Linked DNA regions of Anolis sagrei. The protein of the gene in region 2 binds, or shares a complex with, the protein of the main gene of each other region. Links are inferred from orthologs where the notes say so. Each region holds a gene or a part of one and is shown on either strand. Other genes may lie near its edges.

Region 1 (11,952 bases), on a different chromosome or scaffold from region 2:
AGATGCCTCTCATCTGCCAGTATTCCAACATGACTGTGTAATAATGTTACTGTAGACAACGGACCCAGAATTATACATAATAGATTTGTTTTTCTTTATATATGTTAAGGTTTTGAAAGCTATATGTCAGAAGAAGGAACTGGCAAACAACCCCTGTGTATTTGTTGCCAAGAAAGCTTTATAAAAGTAATGGGATCATCATAGGTTGACAGGAGTCTCAAAGGAGCATACATGCACAATCCCGGACTCCAGCCCCATATGATATGCTACTCAGCGTATCATATGGGGCTGTAGTCCGAGATTATGCATGTAGTCCGAGATTGTGCTTGACACATACAATTACAGAATCTTAGAGCTAGAAGGGACCAGTAAGACCATCTAGTCCAGTGGTTCTCAATCTGTGGGTCCCCAGATGTTTTGGCCTTCAACTCCCAGAAATCCTCAAAGATGGTAAACTGGCTGGGATTTCTGGGGATTGTAAACCAAAAACACCTGGGACTCACAGGTTCAGAGCCATTGATCTAGTCCAATGCCCTGCAGGAATACACAGCTACCGCTCCTCTGAAAGTTGCTTATCCAACTTCTATTTAAAGGCCTTCAAAGAAGATCTTTCCACACCAAGGCAGTCTATTCCACTGAAGAAGTTCTTTAGGTAGTATCTCTTTTATTTTCATTTGAATCCATTGGTCAGTGTTCTAGTTTTTGAAGCAGGAGAAAACACATTCACTCCAAATACTACATGCTATCTTTTCAGATATGTAAACATTGTTATAATGTCGCCTTTAAGTCTTCTGCTTTCTAAGCTAAACAAATCCTGTTCCCTAAAGGTCCTTCCACACAGCCCTATATCCCAGAATATCAAGGCTGAAAATCCCACATTATCTGAGTGTGGACTCAGAGAACCCAGTTCAAAGCAAATATTGTGGGATTTTCTGCCTTGATATTTTGGGATATAGGGCTGTGGGGAAGGGCCCTTAGTTGTGAATAGCACTTTTAATCATCTTGGATGTTCTTCTCTGGATACATTCCAGCCAGTCAATATCCTTCTTGAACTGTGCTGCCCAAAACTCTACATAGTATTCCAAGTGAGGTCTGATTAAACCAGAATAGAGTTGCACTATAGTACGACTTCCTTTGATCTTTTTTGCTTTTGATGCAGCCTAGAACTACATTGGCTTTTTTTGGCTGCGGCATCACACTTACAGGTTCAAGTTTAGCTTGTGGTCTACTAAGACCCCCATCTCCTTCTCACATGTACTGCTTTCAAGTCAGGCGCCAACCATTCTATATTTGTGGATTTCATTTTTCATGCTTAGATGTATACCTCACATTTATCACTTTTGAAATTCAGTGTATTAGTTTTGGCCTAACACTTCAACCTTTTTTAGCCTTATCAGATCGGGGTCCGAATTTGCATGTGTGCATATCCCTGAATCTTCCCACCATTATTCTTATTATTTAAATTGTTGGGTTGACAAGGAGCGCAAGGAACAGGAGGCTGTCACATAGCAATTATTCACATAGCTATTGTAACAATTCTTTATACCTGATTTAATGTCTTCAATATCATATTTTTAGAAATTCAGAAGAACACTTTATTCAAGTCATGACCTGAATGACTGAACATAAGGGTATGTAGCTATAAGCAACATTTGGCTATTTAAGGGAACACTGAATGAATTATATGTTTTTATTCCAGTCTACTTTGGGGTGTTTTAAATGGTTTTATCTGTTCCAGTTAATCTAAGGTTACTTAGGGCCTTTCCACACAGCCATATAACCCTGAATATCAAGACAGAAAGTCCCACAATATCTGCTTTGAACTGGGTTGTCTGAGTCCACACTGCCATATAACATTTTATTCAGCTGCGTGGAAGGGGCCTCAATGTTGTTGTTTGCTATTTATTGTTTGACTAACGTGGAATATTATTACATTTTCGCTTTTATTTACTAAGCCGCATTGAGCAGAGAAATTCTAAAAAGTGGAATAGATTCAAATACTGACTTCATATAATTTACCATATATCCCCTTTTCTTTCATAAAACGTCATGCAAAGTAACCTAGTAGACATTTGCAACAAAGAAAAGATACGCATTATGAATATTCTGAATAATTAAATACAGCATATTAAATACAACATATTATTGTATAATCTAATTGTCCTTTGATCACCATGCCTCAAAACCTATGGTAAATGCAAAGTGACACATAATTTACTTTGTTGAATCAGGTCCCTTCTACACTGCCATGCACAGTAATCCAGATTATCAAAGCATTATCCACATTATCTGCTTTGAACTGGATAATAAGAGTTTGCACTGCCTTATAATCCAGTTAAAAGCAGATAATCTGGATTTTATATGGCAGTGTAAAAGGGACCTATTTCTGAATCTACACTATCCTGTATCCCAGGATATGATCCCAGATTATCAAATTTGAACTGGTTAATATGAGGCCCCTTCCAATATTCCCCTTTGAGGAAAATCTCCACCGTTACCTTTTGCTCATGGAGGAGGGAAGATCAGCAGTATGTTGTGTTCCTTTCTGTCTGGTGCACTTTCTGGGTGCCTGCTTGCCTTCCTTCTTCCTTCCTTCCTTCCTTCCTTTTCTGCCTTGTGTATGCCATGTGTGACCTCTTCTTCTTTCCCTTCTTCCTTCTTCCAACACTGAAGGAAGGGAGTGCCCCCAGACACCACCTCCTTCCCCCCTCCTTTGGTTGACTCCAAGGGCCATCTAGTCCAACCCCCTTATTTCTGCGATGTAGCTAAAGCACCCCAGACAGATGGCCATCCTGCCTCTGAATAATAATAATAATAACAACAACAATAAAATAATAATAAAGAAAAGTTGTTCCTACTCTGTGTTACTTATTTAATTGTGTAGTCCTTACTTTGAAAGTAGTTGTTGCTCTCCAGAAACTTTGTTTTTGTGCACCCAAACTCTGGGCCCTTCCACACAGCCACATAACCCAGAATATCAAGCCATAAAATCCAACAAGGTCTGCTTTGAACTGAGTTATCTGAGTCCACACTGCCATATATTCCAGTTCAAAACTGTGTTGTCGCACGGTGGGCCTGTGCATTAGATTGTAGACAGGACATACATTCTGTGTGCCCAACGGGATGCTGGGGCTGCCTCAGATCAAAGGCCCTTAGATCCCCCCAAACAGAGTCTTTAGATTGCTTAAAGTAAATCCAACAAAGTTCTTTATTGATGGAAACAAACAGGTACTTTAAAGCTTTCTTAACAGTCTATTGGCTCTTGCAATCTTGTTCACTGGGAACAGGCACTATCTTCTTAACTGTAATTAACTAATGGGGAAATCCTTAACTTCTAATCTGGGCAGTTTGTACTTGCCTCTGTTGGCGTGTAGCCCCTGCACCCGGTACCAACTGCGTCTGGCTTCCGTGAGCGACCCTTACCAAGCAGAGCTTTGTAGACTTCCAGGGGAAAAGAAGGAGTTCAGGTTGCTGTGATGGCTGGCTGAAGTCCCTCCGCAAAGGAGCTGTAAGGCTGTAAAATCCTCAGCCAAGCTGTGGGGCCTTTTCTCCCCGGCCAAGCTGTAGGCTATATATCTCCCCGGCCAAGCCGTAGAAGACGAAGCTTTCTACAGGAGCTCTTGGAGTTATGTCCTGCATGGAAAGCTGCTCTGTGTGGACTGACTCAAAAAGGCTCCTATTCCCTCCAAAACTCAAAAAGGGGTGGGACCAGGGAACCTAACGATAATTGACAGGTGGCTTGCCCTATGATTGCAAACTATAACAGGAAGGCACCCTGCTGCAAAATCCCAAGCCTGGGATTGCAAACAAACATTTAATGCAAAAGCAAACAGAATTGGAGCTCCTGGTACAGTTGTACCTGCACAAAAACAGATGATGTGGGATTTTATTCAGCTGTGTGGAAGGGGCCTATGTTAAATGGGTGGAAACTCTACAACGTTTCTCAACCTGGGGGTCAGGACCCCTTGGGGGGGGGGGTCATGAGTGGGGTTTCAGAGGGGTCACCAAAGACCATTAGAAAATACATATTTCTGATGGTCTCAGAAACCCTTTTGGCAGAGAAGGCTAAAGATCTCTCCACCTGCCCTTCTATTCGTTTTTGATATTGGTGACCGACAACTCCCAGAATTCAGAAACAGCCCCCAAACCCCAACCCCACCAGTATTCAATGTTGGCCATGTAGGTAGTGTGCCAAGTTTGGTGCAGATCCATTGTGGACTGGGTTCAAAGTGCTCTTTTATTGTAGGTGAACTATAAATTCCAGCAACTACAACTCCCAAATGTCAAGGCCTACAATCGAAGAGCATTCTAAATCCCACCAACGATAGAATTGGGCCAAACTTCCAACACAGAACACCCATCACCAACAGAATATACTGCATTTTCTGATGGTCTTTGACAACCCCTTTGACACCCTCTCACGACCCCCACCCCTGGGGTCCCAACCCCCAGGTTGAGAAACACCGCTCTAGCAAGATGTCCCTCCTGCAAAATAAAAGTTTTTGCAGTTTAACAAACTTTTCCCATGTGTTTATGATAGAACCAATTAGGAAATGACATTGATAACCCAGGAACAAAAATAATAGTCCAGGAAAGATGTTTCTTGGGTTGTGGTAGATTTTTTGGGGTGTGTGGCCATGTTCTAGAGGTGTTTCAGATTGGACTATTGCAATGCGCTCTATGTGGGGCTGCCCTTGAAGATGGCCCGGAAACTCTAACTGGTACAACGGGTGGCAGCCAGGCTCCTTACTGGAGCAAACTATAGGGAGCATACTACGCCCCTTTTAAAACAGCTTCACTGACTGCCAATAAGTTGCCGAGCCAAATTCAAGGTGCAGGTTATGACCTATAAAGCCCTAAACAATTCGGGCCCCACCTATCTTCGTGATCGCATCTCCCTCTATGAGCCGTCGCAAACTAGGTTCCTGCGGGAGAAAACCTTGCTAGCAAGTCCCTGACGTCATGAGCCTGAGCCTCTCTCCCCGCCCCTTTCTCCGCCCCTTTCTCTTTGCCAGCGTGGTTTTTCCTTTGCTAGGGCAGCATTGCCCGCATTTTCTCTCAGTTGAATTCTGCCAACTGAGAGAAAATGCGGGCAATGCTGCCCTAGCAAAGGAAAAACCACGCTGGCAAAGAGAAAGGGGCGGAGAAAGGGGTGGGGAGAGAGGCGGAGTCTCGTGACGTCAGGGACATGCTAGCAAGGTTTTCTCCCCAGGAACAGAGTTTGCGACGGGCCTTAGAACCAATGCAAACTTTAAGATCTTCCAGGGAGGCCCTCGATTCGCTCCCACCACTGTCACAAGCATGGTTGGTGGGGATGAGAGAGAGGGCCTTCTCAGTGGTGGCCCCCTGCCTCTGGAACCCTCTTCCTGGAGAAATAAGACAGGCCCCGTTGCCCCCTCCTTTTGTAAGAGCCTGAAGACCTGGTGGTTTAAACAAACCTTTGAGAACGACTAGTTCTAGCTCTGCCCCAGACACTGTTGAAAGTGGCCATATCTTTTTCTACCAATTACCCAGGTCACTTTCTTCTATTAGGCCCTGGAAATGTACAGCCATAGACTCTACCTAATTTCCTCGGCCCACTAAAATCGCACTAGCCTGGCCTGGCTTTTTAAACTGCCTTGAACAGGCAGAATTATTTTAAATATATGTGCTATTGTGGTTTTTTAAGGCTCATATTGTCTTGGCATAATTTTATGTTTATACTGTTTTCTTTGTATGTATTGATTATGTTACTTGGAAACCGCTCTGAGTCCCCTTGGGGAGATAGAGCGGTATATAAATAAAGTTTTGTTGGGTTGTTGTAGGTTTTTCCGGGCTATATGGCCATGTTCTGGAGGCAATTTTTCTCCTGACGTTTCGCCTGCATCTATGGCAACATCCTCAGAGGTAGTGAGGTCTGTTGGAAGTAGGAAAATGGGTTTATATATCTGTGGAATGACCAGGGTGAGACAAAGGACCCCTGTCTGCTGGGGCAAGCTGTGAATGTTTCAGCTGATCACCTTGATTTGCATTCAATGGCCTGGAAGCGCCTGGGGGGAATCTCTTGTTGAGAGTGATTTTATGTGCCTGTTTGTTTCCCCTCTGTTGTTTTGCTGTTGTAATTTTTGAGTTTTGTAATACTGGTAGCCAGATTTTATTCATCTTCATGGTTTCCTCCTTTCTGTTGAAATTGTCCACATGCTTGTGGATTTCAATGGCTTCTCTGTGTAGTCTGACATGATGGTTGTTGGAGTGGTCCAGCATTTCTGTGTTCTCAAATAATATGCTGTGTCCAGGTTGGTTCATCAGGTGCTCTGCTATGGCTGACTTCTCTGGCTGAAGTAGTCTGCAGTGTCTTTCATGTTCCTTGATTCGTGTTTGGGCAATGCTGCGTTTGGTGGTCCCTATGTAGACTTGTCCACAGCTGCATGGTACACGGTAGACTCCTGCAGAGGTAAGAGGATCCCTCTTGTCCTTTGCTGAACGTAGCATTTGTTGGATTTTCTTGGTGGGTCTGTAAGTGGTTTGTATGTTGTGTTTCCTCATCAGTTTCCCTATGCGGTCAGTGGTTCCCTTGATGTATGGCAAGTTTTGTTGTTGTTTCTCACAAAGAAAACAGGGGAGGGACAGTGGGTTGAACGGCAAATAGACTGAGAACTCCTGAAAGAAACAGATAATTTGCTACTGTGCAATGGGATGGAGATGGGAAAAATCATCCCTTTAGTTTCAAAACGGAGCTGTATGGTAATCTACACTTCTAAAGACTTGACATGCTCATTGGGGTGAAGTCTCTATAGCCCAGAAAGCAGTTCCTTCACAAACTTCCTTGTAGAAGGGCCTTATTTGGAGCGTGGGAGGGAGGAGGAGGAGGCTGAGAGAGAAAGAGGCCTTGCTTGTCTTTGGCCGGCTGACAAGGCGGACTCCTCCCTCCGCGGCCGACAGGGGGCGCCGTTGCGACGGACAGCGCGGTTTTTTGGCGCCAAAGGAGGCGGAGAGTCAGCCGGAGAGGCGCCGTTGTTTGAAAGAAAGGGAAGCCACCGAGTGAGGAAGCGGGCGATCAAGTGAGTAAAAAAGCCGAGCAAAGAAGAGGAACGATGGGGGAAGAAGACAGGACAACTCTCCCTCGGAGTGGCGGGGTGTGGAGACCCGAGAAGCACTTTGCTGGGCCTCTCCTCCCCTTCCTCGCTTGAGCAGAGGCCTCTGTTTTCAGTGTTCCATACTATTTAGCACCATAACGAGCAGCCATGGGCAAACTTCAGCCCTCCAGGTGTTTTGGACTTCAACTCCCACAATTCCTAACAGCCGGTAGGCTGTTAAGAATTGTGAGAGTTGAAGTCCAAAACACCTGGAGGGCTGAAGTTTGCACATGCCCGATACAGAGTATATATAGCAACTTTTGAGAAAGTTGTTACAACATCGAAGGCCTTTTTGACTTTTGGCCCACTTTGTTTTAAGGCTCAGTCCTTCATAGCTCTAGGAATCAAAGCCTTAAAGGCACCAGGCCCCGTTTGGGAAGAGTTAAGCCATTTTGACATTACTGACGCCACTATGACTCAGTGCTAAGGAATTGTGGGAGTTGTCGTTTACAAAGACTAATCTTCTCTGCCAAAGAGTGCTAGTGCTTCATCACCAAACTACAAATCCCAGAATTGGGTAGCATTGAGATATGGGTGTTCAAGTGGTGCCAAACTATTAATTCTACATTATATATCAGGGAGTTGTAGTTTACAAAGACCTACATCTTCTCTGCCAAAGAGTGCTAGTGCTTCATCACCAAACTACAAATCCCAGAACTGGGTAGCATTGAGACATGGGAGTTCAATTTAATTCTACATTATAGATCAGGCATGGGCAAACTTCGGCCTTCCAGGTATTTTGGACTCCACCTCCCACAATTCCTAACAGCTTCAGACCTTTTCCTTTTCCCCCTCAGCCGCTTATGGGAGGAAAGGAAGGGGCCTGAGGCTGTTAGGAATTGTGGGAGTTGGAGTCCAAAACATCTGGAGAGCCAGAGTTTGCCAGTGCCTGTTGTGCCTTGCATTCTATTGAAGCCCAGTCCCCCTCCCAAGAGCGACAGAGCCTCACACCATATTTGTGTGTCTATTGACCACAGTTATTTATTTATTTATTTAAAACATTTATATTCCGCCCTTCTCACCCCGAAGGAGACTCAGAGCAGAGCACAGCATATACACGGCAAATTTTCAGGGCCTGGATACAATACATAAACATTAAAAAACATTTATCGAAATATTAAAACACACTATTTAAAATAACACCATTTAAAACCGTCCTAGCTATCCGCATCAAATCCAATTGGCCCTGTCATCTTTCCCATTGCCGCTTCATTGCCCTGTCCCGAAAGCTTGGTCCCACAGCCAAGTTTTTACCATCCTTCTAAAGGACAGGAGGGAGGGGGCCGACCTGATCTCACCAGGAAGGGAGTTCCATAGCCGGGGAGCAATCACCAAGAAGGCCCTGTCTCTCGCCCCCACCAATCGCGCCTGTGACAATGGTGGGACGAAAAGCAGGGCCTCCCCGGAGGATCTTAATCTCCGTGATGGTTCATAGGGGGAGATCCGTTCGGACAGGTAATTTGGGCCAGGGCCGTTTAGGGCTTTATAGGCCAAAGCCAGCACTTTGAATTGTGCCCGGTAGCAAACTGGCAGCCAGTGAAGTTGGCGTAACATGGGAGTTGTATGCTCCCTGTATGCCGCCCCAGTTATTAACCTGGCTGCCTCTTGTTGAACTATTTGAAGCTTCCGAGCAGTCTTCAAAGGCAACCCCACATAGAGTGTGTTGCAGTAGTCTATTCTAGACGTAACAAGAGCATGGACCACCGTGGCCAAGTCTGACTTCCCAAGGTACAGGCGCAGCTGGCGCACAAGTTTTAATTGTGCAAACGCTCCCCTGCAACCTGGGATTCCTTTTCTTGTCTTTTCTTGCTTGGAAACTCTCCAGGGGCTGGAGGATCAGCACGCGTCTATGGACCACTTTGCTGCCTTGTCTAACTAACCTTTATACAGTGTGCTGAGAGAAGGGAGCGAATTTCTTTCAGTGTGTTTAGACTTGAAAACTTGCATGTAAATCCAGAAGAGAATTTGACCCTGATTCTGAACTTCTGTGGCTGCTTTCAGGTAGCATTACAATGGAGGCAGCTCATCAGATTGAACATCCTCCCATGCACAGTGAAGACCCAAGTAAGAAATACAGCCAGAACAAGAAGCTATCAGGTACACACTTTAACACATCTTTCCTCCCTCCAAAATCTTGTAAATTCTTCCTTTCCTGTTATAAGGCCTCCACCTGTTTTCTTGGGACCCTTCCATACTCATATTTTGGCATAAGATACTTTAAAAACAAACTGTACTTTTTATTGATGATTTCATTTATGCGTTAGTATAGAAGAACTTGTAGCAAAGCGGGACATTTGGAATACTTGGTTGATTCAAATTTACAAGTTAATCCTTACTTTGGTTTATCAAAATATTTGCTTTTTAAAAATTCTTAATTGTATTCTGGGTTGATGGGAATGCCTTGGAGCTTAAAAAAATAATGAGTTGCAACAAATGTTTGTTGTCTGCTACTGGAAATGATAATTTTCTCCTCTCCCTGCACACCTTGTATGTCTGATCTGGAAGGCAGATAATAGTGGATCGCAGGAGAAGAGCAATGGAAGGCCCACAGTGTATGATCTATGATGTCAGACAGCTGACATAGATTTGGAAGAGACCTCGTGGGCCATCCAGTCCAACCCCCTGCCAAGAAAGTCACATTCAAAACACCCCTGACAGATGGCCATCCAGCCTCTGTTTAAAAGCCCCCAAAAAGGAGCCTCCACCACCGTCTTTGGCAGAGAGTGCTACTGGTGAACAGTTAGGAAGTTCTTCCTAATGTTCAGGTGGAATCTCCTTTCGTGTCATTTGAAGTCATTGCTCCACGCCCTAGTCTCCAGGGCAGCAGAAAACAGCCTGCTCCCTCCAACTTATGACTTCCTCTCACATATTTGTACATGGCCATCATTGTCTCCTCTCAGGCTTCTCTTTTGTAGGCTAAATATGCCCAGCTCTTTAAGCCGCTTCTCACAGGGCTTGTTCTCCAGACCCTTGATCATTTTAGTCGCCCTCCTCTGGACACATTCCAGCTTGTCAACATCTCCCTTAAATTGTAGTGCTCAGAATTGTACATAGTGTGATTCCAGGTGTGGTCTGACCAAGGCAGAAGAGAGGGATAGAATGACTTCCCTGGATCTAGACACTAGACTCCTGTTGATGCAGGCCAAAATCCCATTGTTTTTTTTAACTGCCGTGTGACATTGTTAGCTAATGTTTAACTTGTTGTCCATGAGGACTCCAAGATCTTTTTCACACATACTGCTGTTGAGTCAAGCGTCCCCCATTCCCAGGCATCATATTATAAAAATGAAATTATTCAAAGTTTTGAAAATGTTTGCCATGAAATAAGATTTGGGTCTGTTAGCAAAGCAGAGGTCTAGCCCCACCTGCTTGGTCTCACACTGTGAGAGCATAAAGTGCTCTCTAGTCATTGGTACATACGTGCCACAATTTTGGCTCATGCGCTGCTATCTCCTAATGTTCTCCTTTTCTTTTTGGTGTACCATTTCTCCTCCTTGCCCAACTCTAATTATTACTTCAACTTCTGTCCAGCTTGCTCAGGAGTAGCAGGAAATACATCTTTTATTATGGAGGCCACTCTCTGGAGTGAAGGGTCCAGTGTACCTCTCACATTTTTGAAAGCCTCTTACCCTACATAAGGCTTTGGTCATCACAGTGTTTTCCAGCAAAACTTTGGTGTGCTCCTTTGGCCAGTTGCCTTCAGGTTTGGATGGACCTGATATCATTGAAACACTTCATGCTTGATAGTGGAACAGCACAAGGACTGTTGTAACATCTTAGAAACTAATTCAGAGAAAGAAGCTTGTAGGATTGTTTTTCATCAGATGCTCTAAGGCCCTTCCACACAGCCATATAACCCAGAATATCAAGGTAGAAAACCCCAGAATATCTGCTTTGAACTGGAATATCTGAGTCCACACTGCCGTGTATCCCAGTTCAAAGCAGATAATATGGGATTTTATTCAGCTGTGTGGAAGGGGCCTAAGTGAAGTGTCTATGGATAGACATTTCTATCTATGAATAGTTAGAGTGTAATGACACAGACACACACTACCCCTTCATGGGCACAAATATTTGTCAACAAGCACTTCATTCTGTGCATCTGAGTAAGTAGTCCCTGTCTACAAAAGCTTACATGACAATCTTTTCCCTGTCATTTAGTCTCAAGACTGCTGTGGCGCAGTGGGTTAAACCCCTGTGCCGGCAGGCCTGAAGACTGACAGGTCACAGGTTCAAATCCGGAGAGAGGCGGATGAGCTCCCTCTATCAGCTCCAGCTCCCCATGCGGGGACATGAGAGAAGCCTCCCACAAGGATGATAAAACATCAAATCATCCGGGCGTCCCCTGGGCAACATCCTTGCAGACAGCCAATTCTCTCACACCAGAAGCAACTTGCAGTTTCTCAGGTCGCTCCTGACACGACAAAAAAAAAAGTCTTAAGAAAAATGTTACAAGATCCCTTTCTGTTCTGATCCAGATTAACATGGCTATGTCTTTAAAGGCCCACAGTTACTATACCTCTTTAGCCAAAACACTATTTGAGAAATGTAGTAGGGAATATTGTTCAATCTAAGTAAGGCGTCTTGCCTATGTTGTCTGAGTTTTTACAGGAAAATACAATATAACATCCTTCCTATGCCATCTAGTGATAGGTTTATGAAAAACAGCAACTAGTAAATTCTTGAAAAAAAATGTGTAGTTTCTGAATTCAGCATCTGCAATTGCTTTGTAAGCCTACTTTTTTCTCTGCCCCTTTTCTTATTTTATCTTATTTTTTAAATTCATTAAACACATTCACACCAAGCTAAAAGCAGCTAAACAAGAAAAAACACACTG
Region 2 (12,543 bases):
ATACTATTGAAGTTTAATTCTGTTTTAATGTTTGTATATTTGTAGATTTTAAGTCATACTGAAATGCTTTTACTGTAAGTTGCTTTGATTCTCCTTGTGGAGAGAAAAATTAGGGTATAAATAAACATAATATAAACATGCTGCTGCTACTACTGCTACTACTACTACTACTACTACTAATAATAATAATAATAATAATAGAAAAGTTTGTTGTTCTTGTTGCTGCTGCTGCACGGCTTCAAGCGATTTCCGATTTAGGGAAACTCTTAAGTGAACCGATCACTCAGTGGCAAAATTTATTTAGAGGGTATCTTTTGTGTTACTGTGAGGTTGTGAAAGTGACATGTCTAAACGCAACTTATGGAATTCAGTGGACAAGCAAGATTCGAACTCTGGTATCCAGAGTGGCAATCTAAAATGCAGATCACTACATCATGCTGGCTTTCCCTTATATTAAATCAAGACCCCAGATCTATCTAAGCTGAGTACCATCACCACTAAGCTGAGCAGTGGTTGTTCTGTAGGGCTGAGATTAGAGGTGAATCAACACTGAAGGATTCAGAAGTCAGATCCATGTTATGACCAAGAGCCCTTATCAACTTGGTCAACTTCTGAACCTATCTAAGGATATTCTTCCTTTTGTGATGTCCAAAAAAAACAAAAACAAAAAATAAATGCAAGTTTGAACGGAGGTTCTCACAACAATATGAAAACATACACAGAGAAAACCCCTCACAGTGCATCTGGATTCACTCCATCCAACAAGGCAATTGAACTAGCACTGGAAATACATTCTCCTTGTTTATGTATGTATGTATGTATTTTATTTGCCGTATTTGTATACCACCTTTCTCTACCCTGAAGGGGACTCAAGGGGATTCACAGTCCATGGTTCAAACAAATTCTCCTTGGTATGCATGGTGATTGTGTAAACCACGAAGCATCGTGGACCATATTCCTGCCAGTGTAATTCAAAACTGACATCAGCAACATGTTTTTCCTCCATTGCTGATGTTGCTGTTTCCTCATGAATGCCTAACACTTGATCACCAGGAGATCCAGTACAACAATCAAAAGCTCCAAGCAGGCTCTCAGCAAAACAAAGACCTCATATCAGAAATGGAAAGCGAAAGTCAACAGGCGTGACAAAAATCATGGAAAACTGCTTAAGGATCATTTCAGCTGGATAAATATCCCAGCGAACTTTCTGTAGAGAAACTAAATCACCCTAACATACAACCTAATTCAGAAACATCTTAATTTTGCCATTTTATGTAAAGGTTGACAGTTCACCATGCCATAGTTTTCAGATTTTGGTATCCTCAAAGATACTGGAACAAAACTACAGGGATTTTGTGAAATCCCTGTATGCCTCCAGCTCCAATTCATTGCCTCATTTATGAGTAAATAATGAAAATTAGAGGCAAATTCATCAGTTGTGTATTTGCGGGCAGGGAAGAACAGGTTTTGTTACGAACAGTTCTCTTCTGAAAGGTCGAGGGCCTCAAACTTTTTGGAAAGTTTGAGTTACATTTTCTGTTGGGGAGGTTATGGGTGGAATTGGGGGTATTTAGCTTTTAAATGCAATTTTAAATGTATTTAAAATGAATTAGGTCTGCATAGTTAAAGCAATGGTATTCCCCATAGTAACCTATGGATTTGAGAGCTGGACAACAAGGAAGGCTGAGAAAAGGAAGATAGACAGTTTTTGAACTGTGGTGTTGGAGGAAAATTCTGAGAGTACCTTGGACCGCAAGATCAAAGCAGTCCATACTCCAGGAAATAATGCATGACTTGTTACTGGAGGGAAGGGTATTAGAGGCAAAGATGAAGTACTTTGGCCACATCATGATAAGACAGGAAACTCTTGGAGAAGATAATGATGCTGGGGAAAATGGAAAGAAAAGGGAAGAGGAGCCAACCAAGGGCAAGATGGGTGGATGTTATCCTTGAAGTGGAGCCCCTGGTAGCGCAGTGGATTAAACCCTTATGCCGGCAGGACTGATGACTGACAGGTTGGAAGCTCGAATCTGAAGAGAGCTCAATTGAGCTTCCTCTGTCAGCTCTAGCTCCCCATGTGGGGACATGAGAGAAACCTCCCACAAGGATGATAAAACATCAAAACATTCAGGCGTCCCATGGGCAACGTCCTTGCAGATGGCCAATTCTCTCAAACCAAAAGTGACTTTCTCAAGTCGCTCCTGACACGGGGAAAAAACCCCTTAAAGTGACTGGCTTGACCTTGAAGGAACTGCGGTGGCCAAGGCCGACAGGGAGCTCTGGCGTGGGCTAGTCAACTGAACAAATAAACAACAACAACAAAATCTGCCTTGATATTCTGCATTATATGGCTGTGTGGAAGGGACCCAAGTTTCCCATCAGATGTCTTTAATAGCTGTGGGCCCTTCCACGCAGCCATACAACCCAGAATATCAAGGCAGAAAATCCCACAATATCTGCTTTGAACTGGGGCCCCTTCCACACAGCTGAATAAAATCCCACACTATCTGTTTTGAACTGGGATATATGGCAGTGTGGATTCAGATATCCCAGTTCAAAGCAGATAATGTGGGATTTTATTCAGCTGTGTGGAAGGGGCCCCAGTTCAATCAGCAGGGAAGAACTGGGAGTCCATACTGCCATAGAATCCAGTGGCACAGCTAGTTAGTAGCCAGCTGCATTAAATCACCACTGACCGATAGGTCATGAGTTCAAAGCCAGCCTGGGTCAGAGTAAGCTCCTGACCATTAATAGTCTAGCTTGCTGTCAACCTATGCAGCCCGAAAGACAGTTGTAGCTGTCAAGGAGGAATTTAGGAGGCCAATTTAACTAATTTGCAATGCCATAATATCTTCCAGCAGTGTGCGTAAGAATGAGGACGAACTCCATCAAAGGAACACAAGTGGATGGTGAAGTGGCTAGAATCGAACATACCCTCATGAAGCCAGAAAGCTGGAATGTTAAATTGCCTCTATGTCTGTGTATATATGTAGTCTGGCTAAATGACATTGAATGTTTGCCATGTATATGTGAATTGTAATCTGCCCTGAGTCCCCTGCGGGGTGAAAAGGGCAGAATATAAATATTGGAAATAATAATAATAATAATAATAATGATGATGTGTGGTTTGATACAGAACCAAGAACCTGCTTTAATTGAAATCAATAATCGGAAACTTCTCAAAGCACAGCAGACATAGAGTCAGTACAAGATAACTGCACTCCAAACCAGAGCTGACAGCTGGCACAATAAAGCCTTGGATGGGCAGTTCCTTGAGAAGATTGAAGGAAAAGTTGTCAAGGAGAAGACCTGGTTATGGCTCATGAATGGAACACTGAAGAAGGAGACGGAAGGCCCAATTCTTGCAGCCCAGGAGCAAGCCATCAGAAGCAATGCAATTAAGGCCAGGGTTGGAAAAAAAAAACCAGATTACCCAAAAAGCTGATGAAACCTCAGCTGTTACAAGAAAATCACACAGACTATAAACAAAGACACAACTCTGTGGCCCAGATGATTCACCAGAACTTATGTCACAAGTACCACCTGCCAGCAATAAAGAATTGGTGGGATCATAAACCCGCAAAGGTCATGGAAAATGAACATGCAAAAATACTGTGGGACTTTCAAATCCAGACTGACAAAGTTTTGGAACACAATGCACCAGACATCATGATTGTGGAAAAGAAAAAAGTCTGGATTATTGATGTCGCCATACCAGATGACCGTCGCATTGAGGAAAAACAACAGGAAAACCTCTATCAAGACCTCAAAATCAAACTGCAAAGGCTTTGGCATAATTCAGTACAGGTGGTCCCAGTGGTCATCGGAACACTGAGTGCCGTGCCAAAAGATCTGAGCCAGCATTTGGAAACAATAAACATTGACAAAATCACGATCTGTCAGCTGCAAAAGGCCACCTTACTTGGATCTGTGCACATCATTCGAAAATAAATCACACAGTCCTAGACGCTTGGGAAGTGTTAGACTTGTGATTTTGTGATACGAAATCCAGCATACAGATCTCGTTTGCTGTGACATACTGTGCTTTTGTGTCAGTACGTGCTTCTCCAGTGCCTGTTTTATAGAGACATTCGATCTCATCTCATCTTACCATGTACAATTAAATATCCAGGATGCTCTGGACAATTCTATGTAGATCTGCTGATCTCAGACACAAACTCGGCTGTGACGTACAACATCGCTAAGTTCTGCACGGCTGCAATTAAAATTCGGCGGACGATGATTGAGGGTTAAAAGACCTAAGCTTCTCCTCTGGAATATAGATGAGAAATCAGATATAGTCTGATATTATAGAGTTGGATATTCCCCCACTCCCTGGTGCCATCCCCACTACCTCTCTTTAGACTGCGTTGGATGAACTTGTGGGTTAAGTTAGGTTTTAATAACTATTATTATTATTATTATTAACTTTATTTGTACCCTGCTAGCATCTCCCGAAGGACTCAATGCGGCTTACAAAGGCCAAGGCCTCAAAACACAACATAACAATACAACACCTAAAGCAAATTAAAAACAATTAAAGCAAATATTAAACAACAAGCAATAAACAATACATCAAGACACTATAAAACTGGGCCGGGCCAGAGTAATGGGTACAGGATTAAAAGTGCTGATGTGACAGGTGATATGTAAGGATTATAGGGTAAGTTAAGTGCAGTGTGCAGCAATCTTAGTTCTGGGACTTGTTATTGGAGGTTCCTATTCTGGAAAGGCACATCGGAACAGCCAGGTTTTCAAGTTCTTTCTAAAGACTGCCAATGTAGGGGCCTATCTAAGATCTTTTGGGAGTGTGTTCCAGAGTCGGGGGGCCACCACAGAAAAGGCCCTGTCTCGCGTCCCCACCAAACACGGCTACGACGCTGGCGGGATCACGAGCAGGGCCTCTCCGGATGACTGAAGTGAGCGCGTGGGTTCGTAAACGGAGATACGGTCACGCAGGTAGGATGGTCCCAAACCGTTTAGGGCTTTGTAGGTAAGCACCTGCACCTTAAATTGGGCTCAGAAAATAAACGGCAGCCAGTGGAACTCCTTGAACCTCTCTCTGTAATGAGCCCCAGTTAACATCCTGGCTGCTGCCCGTTGGACCAGTATTGGTTTTTAGTTTCGATTTTAAAATTTGTTGAAGTTTAAAGTGTACAACCCCTTGGGTTTGATGTGAATGTACGGGACTGGGTCCCCATGTTGTGATCTGGTCTTCGACCGTAATAAACTTTACTACTACTTTGTGTCGGTAACATAATAATAGTAATGTGTGGTTTGATACAGCTGTGTGGAAGGGGATATTGAATAGCAGAAAGGAAGGAAGGAAGGAAGGAAGGAAGGCCCCAACCACACTTACAGGGGAACTGTCCTTTGCTGCTGCTTTTCAAACCACTTGGTTTCATTTTTCCTGGGAAGTCACATCTTCTTCTCGGCCCACTTCCCTGCGACGGTTAGTTGCGACCTGAAAGGAAAAGGAAAGAGATTCTCATGAACACACTTGAGAAGGCTTGAATATGGGGGAGAGGATTGAAGAAGAATGAAATACTCAGTGGGGGGAGGCGGGGTGTCCATTTAAAGAACGGGGCAACTTCTCTGCCGCCGCCGCCGCCTCCAAGCCCTGCTGCGCCCCCCCCCCTCAGGCCTCCGCCCCGCCCCGGGCCTTACGTTGCCTTCTCCCCGGGGGCAGCGCCTGGTGTGAGGCGCCCGTTCCAGCCCCGCGCTTCCCGGCGGCGGCGGAGGGGCGGTTGGCGTTTGAAAGCGGCGTCACCTCAGCCTCATGGCGCCGCCGCCGCTGCCGCTGAGGGGATTCTGCTCCGCCGCTCGGCCATTCGGCGCCTCGCCTTTCCCGCCTCGCTCGGGCTGGGCCTACCAGCAGCCTCCGAGGCGGGGCCTGGCGCTCTGGTTGGGCTGAATTCAAGGCCCAGGAGGAGGAGGAGGAGGAGGGCGGCGAGGAAGAGGAGGAGCCTCGCCTCTCAGAGGCCTCCTCGCCCGGCTCCTCTCCCTCTCAGTTGCCCAGGTAACCCTTCTCTTGGCCGCCCCTGAAGTGGAGGAATCCCTCATATCCAAAATGCTCCAGTAATGTTTGGGACTTGGGATACACTTGGGATGTTGGCATGTTTACCTGTATATGAGCATATACAGCAGGCCTTGGCAAACTTGGGCCCTCCCACAATGCCTGGTGTGTATGGTGCCCATGAAAGATTAATTTTATTGATTTATTTACTTTATTTGTATACCGCAGTTTCTCAGCTCATAGGCGACTCAACGCGGTTAACAACAAGAGCAAAAATTCAGTGCTAACAACATAGGTAAAGGTAAAGGTAGTCCCCTGACATTAAGTCCAGTCATGTCTGACTCTGGGGTGTGGTGCTCATCTCCATTTCTAAGCCGTTGTCCGTAGACACCTCCAAGGTCATGTGGCCGGCATGACTGCATGGAGCGCCATTACCTTCCCGCCGGAGCGGTACCTATTGATCTACTTACATTTGCATGTTTTCGAACTGCTAGGTTGGCAGAAGCTAGGGCTGACAGCGGAAGCTCACGCCGCTCCCCGGAATCGAACCTGCGACCTTTCGATCAACAAGCTCAGCAGCTCAGTGCTTTAACCCACTGCGTCACCGGGGGCTCTAACAACATACACTATTTAAAAACAATTAACACCGTAGTATACTAAATGATTAACATCAATAAACAACACATTAACATCTCGTAACTAGAATCGTGATCCAACTCGTCATCCGTAATTCCGTTTTCCTATATTCATTGCACTGCTTCTCCGAACGCCTGTTCAAATAGCCAGGTTTTCAGTTTTCTTCGAAACACCATTAACGAGGGGGCTGATCTAATGTCCATGGGAAGGGCGTTCCACAGCCGAGGGGCCACCACTGAGAAGGCCCTGTCCCTCGTCCCCGCCAAACGTGCCTGTGATGCAGGCGGGATCGAGAGCAGGGCCTCCCCAGAGGATCTTAAAGTCCTGGTGGGTTCATAGGCAGAGATACATAATGAATGTATTGTTTACACTTGGGTTTCATCTCCAAGGTTATATGTAGCATAGATATGCTAATGTGTGTGTGTGTGATGTCTATAAAATATTTATTTATTTATTTACAACTTTTATATTCCGCCCTTCTCACCCCGCAGGGGACTCAGGGCGGATTACAGTGTACACATATATGGCAAACATTCAATGCCAATTTTTGACATACAAACATATACAGACATACACAGAGTAGTAGCAGTAGTAATTTTATTGATTAGCCATTAGGCTATATCACAATAAGAAACAGAACAACAAGGCCTGACAAGACCTGATCACACTCCACGTAGAAAGTTAAAATAAGACACTTATAATAATACAGTAAATACATATGATAAGACATGATAAAACTGATCAAGCTGAGTATATACATCATATTTCATTATCACCCCTACAATTTACCCCAATCAGCCCTACATATGTGGTTCTCAGACGTATTGTTTTGCCTAAGTACAGAGCTGTTTTATATGTTATTTCTGGGTCTTGGCCACACATAAAATATGTTGTTCTGATGTGAGAATCCCAATACATTGTCCGTTTGATATATGGACCAAGGTGGAAGTCTCTCACCTTTTGATACAATTTGCAATCAAAAAATATGTGTGCTATATCCTCAATTTCAGGTGTCCCGCAGATACAACTTCGTTCATTATAAGGGATGCTGTTAAATCTCCTGTATCTAACCATTGTCTCGAGCTGATCAAATCTGGCTCGAGTGATGTTTTGGTATTTGCATTTTTAGGTAGTTAGCAGTTTGAAAGGTACGTTTATATTGACTCAGACATACACAGAGGCTATTTAACTTTTTTTCTGGCCGCCAGGGGAGCTGTCGCTTTCATCGTCCATCTGCGACGCTGATGAAGCACTTCCGCATTCCCTGCATGCTTCCCCGCTGGAATGCTTTGCTGGAGTCTTCTTTATGGCCTCATAAATCAGTTAATTTAGCCTCCCCACACTTTAAGGTGGTACCTAATTTTCCTACTTGACAGATGCAACTGTCTTTCGAGTTGCAAAGGTCGACAACAGGCTACACACAATTGGTTGGAAACCCACTCCAACCCGGGCTGGCTTCGAACTCATGACCTTTTGGTCAGAGTGATCTTAATGCAGCTGACACTCAGCCAGCTGTGCCACAATCCCGGTCTAGTATTTAGACCTGAATGTATAATTAACACTTGAGTTTCATCTCCAAGGTTTTGTATAGCATATATATGGCAATGTATCTATATGTGTGTATGGTGTCTATGAAAGATAGATTTATGTAATATTTAGACCTGAATGTATTGTTTACACTTGAGTTTCATCTCCAAGGATGGATAGATAGATAGATAGATAGATAGATAATATCTATATGGCAATGTATCTGTGTGTGGTGTCTATGAAAGATACATTAATGTAGTATTTAGACCTGGATCTCATTTCAAGGTATCTCACAAGATATATATCTGGCCTGGGCAAACTTGGGCCCTCCAGGTGTTCTGGACTTTCAACACCCACAATGCCTGGTGTGTATGGTGTCTATCAGAGATAAATGAATGTATTGTTTATACTTGGACTTCATCTCTCTCTCTCTCTCTCTCTCTCTCTCTATATATATATATATATCGCTATGTATCTATGTGTAGGTCCCCTGGCGGCACAGTAGGTTAAACCACTGCACTGCTGAACTTGCTAACCGAAAGGTCAGAGGTTCGAATCCGGAGAGCAGGGTGAGCTTCAGCTATTAGGCCCAGTTTCTGCCAACCTAGCAGTTCAAAACATGCAAATTTGAGTAGATCAATAGGTACCACTCTGGCAGGAAGGTAACAGCACTTCATGCAGTCATGCAGGCCACATGAGCTTGGAAGCATCTACGGACAACACTGGCTCTTCAGCTTAGAAATGGAGATGAGCTCCAGGCCCCAAAGTTGGACACGACTAGACTTAATGTCAAGGGCAAACTTTTCACTACAGCCAGGAAATCAGTAGGAGAGCAGTGGCCAATCTCAATAAAATAAAAGGACAGACTGTATTCTCTATCTCTTGATATTATGGGATACGCTTGATTTTTCTTGGGCCGTTTTTATACACAATGAGAATAATCATTAGGTTGAGAAAGTAACTCATATTCAGATGTTTCAGAGAGAACTTTTCCTTTCAAATTCACCTAAATGAGTGATAAACCATTTAGGTGGGGAGTGTACAGACACATATGTGTGTATATTTATTTATTTATTTTCAGTATTTCTATCCCACCCTTCTCAACTCCCGAGGGGGGATTCAGGGCGGCTTACAAATGGCTTATGTGTATGTATACATAGATTCCAAGTTAATCAGCACTTAAGGAGTATTGGCAGATGCCTAATAAATGTAGTTTCTGGTTGTCTGAGAGTTACTGTTAAAATAAACCTAATTAATACTGTACCCCATACTATATCACACCAAAAACTCTGTATTGACTTGTTAATATTGAAGTACCGTAATTGAATGCAAAGAGAGAAACCTAACTAATTTAACACAGCTTCACTGTTCTATAAAAAAGCTTTGTGAATGCAGTATGCAAATTTTGTGAAATGGTAGCCAGTAAACTTTTGCTGGTTGCTTGATAATTTCATTTGCTTGAATTCCAATTAATAGAGTCTACACAAACACACACACACATATATATATATTGATTTTTTTTAATCAGGTTATGCTTCTCAAGGAATAAATTATGGGTTCTGAAGAGAAAGAAGATGGATTATACAGCATTACAACGTCTCAGCAAGCAGTCTGTTCTTGTTGTGGTGCTCTTATTACTTCAGTTTTGGGTAAGAAAAGACAATTGAGGTCACTTAGCACACTGTTAATATGTCAGTGTTATTTTTAACAGGCATATTCTAAAAATGAGATAATGATCCTATTATAGGCATGTCCCACTGGGTTCAGTAGAGCTTTCTCTCCAGCAAATGTGTTTAGGATTGTAACCCAGTAGTCACAAATAGATATTGAGATACTCCTCACTGGAAGGGTAAGATGGCCACGGAAATCTGAAAATATCCCGTGAAGCCAGTGCTAAGACAGCAGCCAAAAAGGGACAAGTAATGGAAGATACAACAACTGGAAGCCACAGTGTCCCTTATTAGGAAAGAAAATACAAACTGGACACCAAATAATACAAACATTGAATTAGCCTGATTTTTTAAACACCAGGAAGTGTGATGAGCAATAATCTGTAGTTTGCAGAGATTTGCAAAATGCCTTTTAATCCATCCCCTGTGGGGATTTTCACTTTGTGCATTGTTAATAATGGTGAATCCTCTTTAAGTCAAATGAAAAATAAAAACCTCTCATGATTCAAGATTAGAAACAAATAGGTTGGAAACTATATTTGTGCCTTACTCCATTTGTATTCTGATTCCTAGCAAATATAATTGTACTTTCATAATAAATCCAAAGCCTATTACATCGAGACTCACGGCATTAGAGAAGGACTTTGTAGGCCATCTCTTCTAATCCCCTACTTAGTATAGGAAATCCTGAATGGAACATACCCAGCAAGCTTAACAACCTTGAGCAAGGGATAGTCTTTCTTCCAAGTCCCATTCTCAAAATATTTGTACAATCAAGAGGCATCTCAGGTTCCACTAACATTTATTCCCCTATACTTAAAGCCCATTCTATCTGGGCACCACAATTTAAGGGAGATGTTGACAAGCTGGAATGTGTCCAGAGGAGTGTGACTAAAATGATCAAGGGTCTGGAGAACAAGCCCTATGAGGAGCAGCTTAAAGAGCTGGGCATGTTTAGCCTGCAGAAGAGAAGGCTGGAAGGAGACATTATGAGGGCCACGTATAAAATATGAGAGGAGAAGTCATAGGGAGGAGGGAGCAAGCTTCTTTTCTGCTGCCCTGGCTCCAAACTACAGGAAAGGAGATTCCACCTGAACATTAGGAATAACTTCCTAACTGTGAGAGCTGTTCAGCAGTGGAACTCTCTGCCCTGGAGTGTGGTGGAGGCTCCTTTTTTGAAGGCTTTTAGACAGAGGCTGGATGGCCATCTGTCAGGGGTGCTTTGAATACCATTTTCCTGCTTTTTGGTAGGAGGTTGGACTGGATGGCCCACGAGGTCTCTTCCAACTCTGTGATTCTATATGATTCTAATTTTACCTTCTGGAGCACAAATGAACACATTATTATGTGTGTTGTTTTTTAAAACTTTTGCTCTTGAAACCATTGACCACATTTAGAGTGTTTAGAATGTTTTCCATTTGATGGTTTGTTTGTTTGCCTTAGTGACACCCCTAGATGTTGTCAAAGTTCGGATGCAAGTCCAGATGAATCCGTCTCTCAAAGGTAAATCTATAGCTCTACATTTGTGGTATGGGAAGGAGGAAGATGCTTGTTCTTCCATGTGTTTTGGTAATATATGTCAGTGTTAGTATGAGGGGAAGGATGGGAGCTTTACTGCACTCGAGTCTATGAGCAGTGAAATGTGATATTGAGTTAATAGCTTTTAAAACCATTAATAGTAACAATTTATCTATGGTGCAGTGGGTTAAACCACTGAGCTGCTGAACTTGCTGACCGAAAGGTTGCCGGTTGAAATCCGGGGAGTGGGGTGAGCTTCTGCTGTTAGCCCCAGCCTCTGCCAACCTAGCAGTTCGAAAACATGCAAATGTGATTAGATCAATAGGTACTGCTCCGGCTGGAAGGTAACGGTGCTCCATGCAGACATGCCAGCCACATAACCTTGGAGGTGTCTACGGACAACGCCGGCTCTTCGACTTAGAAATGGAAATGAGCACCAACCCCGAGAATCAGACACAACTGGACTTAATGTCAGGGATAACCTCTACCTATCTAGTTTTGCATTTGTAATATTGTTAATTTAGAAGGAAAAGACACACGTTTTAAAGAGCTTAAAGTGACAAAAATAAATAAGAAATTACACTTTATTCCAGGTTTCTTCCACTCATCTTTAAAAGAATCACAGTTTATTTTTCACCTTTTTTTAAAACAGGAAAGTCATTTTTAGATTCTGATGGCTTGACCGATCATGTTTATCTCTATGAAAACGGAAGTGGCAAAACTTGGCAAAGGACAGCTGGCCGTTTTAATGGCATGATGGTAAGGAGAAAAGCATATCCAATCCAAAGAATATTGGCCCTTAAAACTCAACAAACTATTGCCCAGTTTTTATTTTAAAATGCTGTTATGTAAATTCAGAGTGGTTTTTATTTCACAATAATGAGAATCATAATTTAAGTCCCCTTACATTTTTTAAATATTTCCTCTTTTCAAAGGAGCAAATCATAAAACTTCTTATGATAAAAGTGGACTTATGCACAAGGGAATAAGAGCAAGAAACAAGTGCACAATTAGCCAATAGTACATTTCCGACCAACTAAAATTCCACAACAATTCCACCAACCACTTAATTGCGCTAAATTGTTCCAAGAACGAGAAGAGACAGAAATAGAGAAATGTTATAGTCAGGAACATTGAAGTTAAACCCATTTCCAAAATGGATATTGGATACTAGAT

Evidence for each region.
Region 1: the proteins of DBF4 (region 2) and CDC7 are in contact, whole or in part, in a crystal structure (PDB 6YA8), measured with the Homo sapiens proteins. The link is inferred for Anolis sagrei from reciprocal best matches to the Homo sapiens genes DBF4 and CDC7. Residues at the interface, in NP_006707.1 of Homo sapiens: Thr210, Arg211, Thr212, Gly213, Arg214, Leu215, Lys217, Pro218, Phe219, Val220, Lys221, Val222, Glu223, Asp224, Met225, Ser226, Gln227, Leu228, Tyr229, Arg230, Pro231, Phe232, Tyr233, Leu234, Leu236, Met239, Pro240, Ile242, Asn243, Tyr244; in NP_001127891.1 of Homo sapiens: Asn56, Val57, Phe58, Ala77, Gln78, Leu79, Gln80, Ile87, Ile93, Pro94, Thr95, Ser96, His97, Pro98, Ile99, Arg100, Ile101, Ala102, Leu105, Gln106, Thr109, Lys121, Tyr122, Cys123, Phe124, Arg125, Asn127, Asp128, Val130, Leu143.

Annotation. Positions count from the first base shown.
Region 1 is NC_090024.1:150,719,910-150,731,861, reverse strand, and holds the start of CDC7 (cell division cycle 7-related protein kinase), read left to right. Parts: upstream 1-6,931; 5' UTR 6,932-7,040; intron 7,041-9,116; 5' UTR 9,117-9,127; coding exon 9,128-9,212; intron 9,213-11,952. UniProt on the Homo sapiens protein: Kinase involved in initiation of DNA replication. Phosphorylates critical substrates that regulate the G1/S phase transition and initiation of DNA replication, such as MCM proteins and CLASPIN.
Region 2 is NC_090026.1:104,608,698-104,621,240, forward strand, and holds the start of DBF4 (protein DBF4 homolog A), read right to left. Parts: upstream 5,833-12,543; 5' UTR 5,668-5,832; intron 5,465-5,667; 5' UTR 5,406-5,464; coding exon 5,360-5,405; intron 1-5,359. Other genes in the region: mitochondrial glutathione transporter SLC25A40, read left to right, coding at 9,732-9,828, 11,293-11,352, 12,020-12,126. UniProt on the Homo sapiens protein: Regulatory subunit for CDC7 which activates its kinase activity thereby playing a central role in DNA replication and cell proliferation. Required for progression of S phase.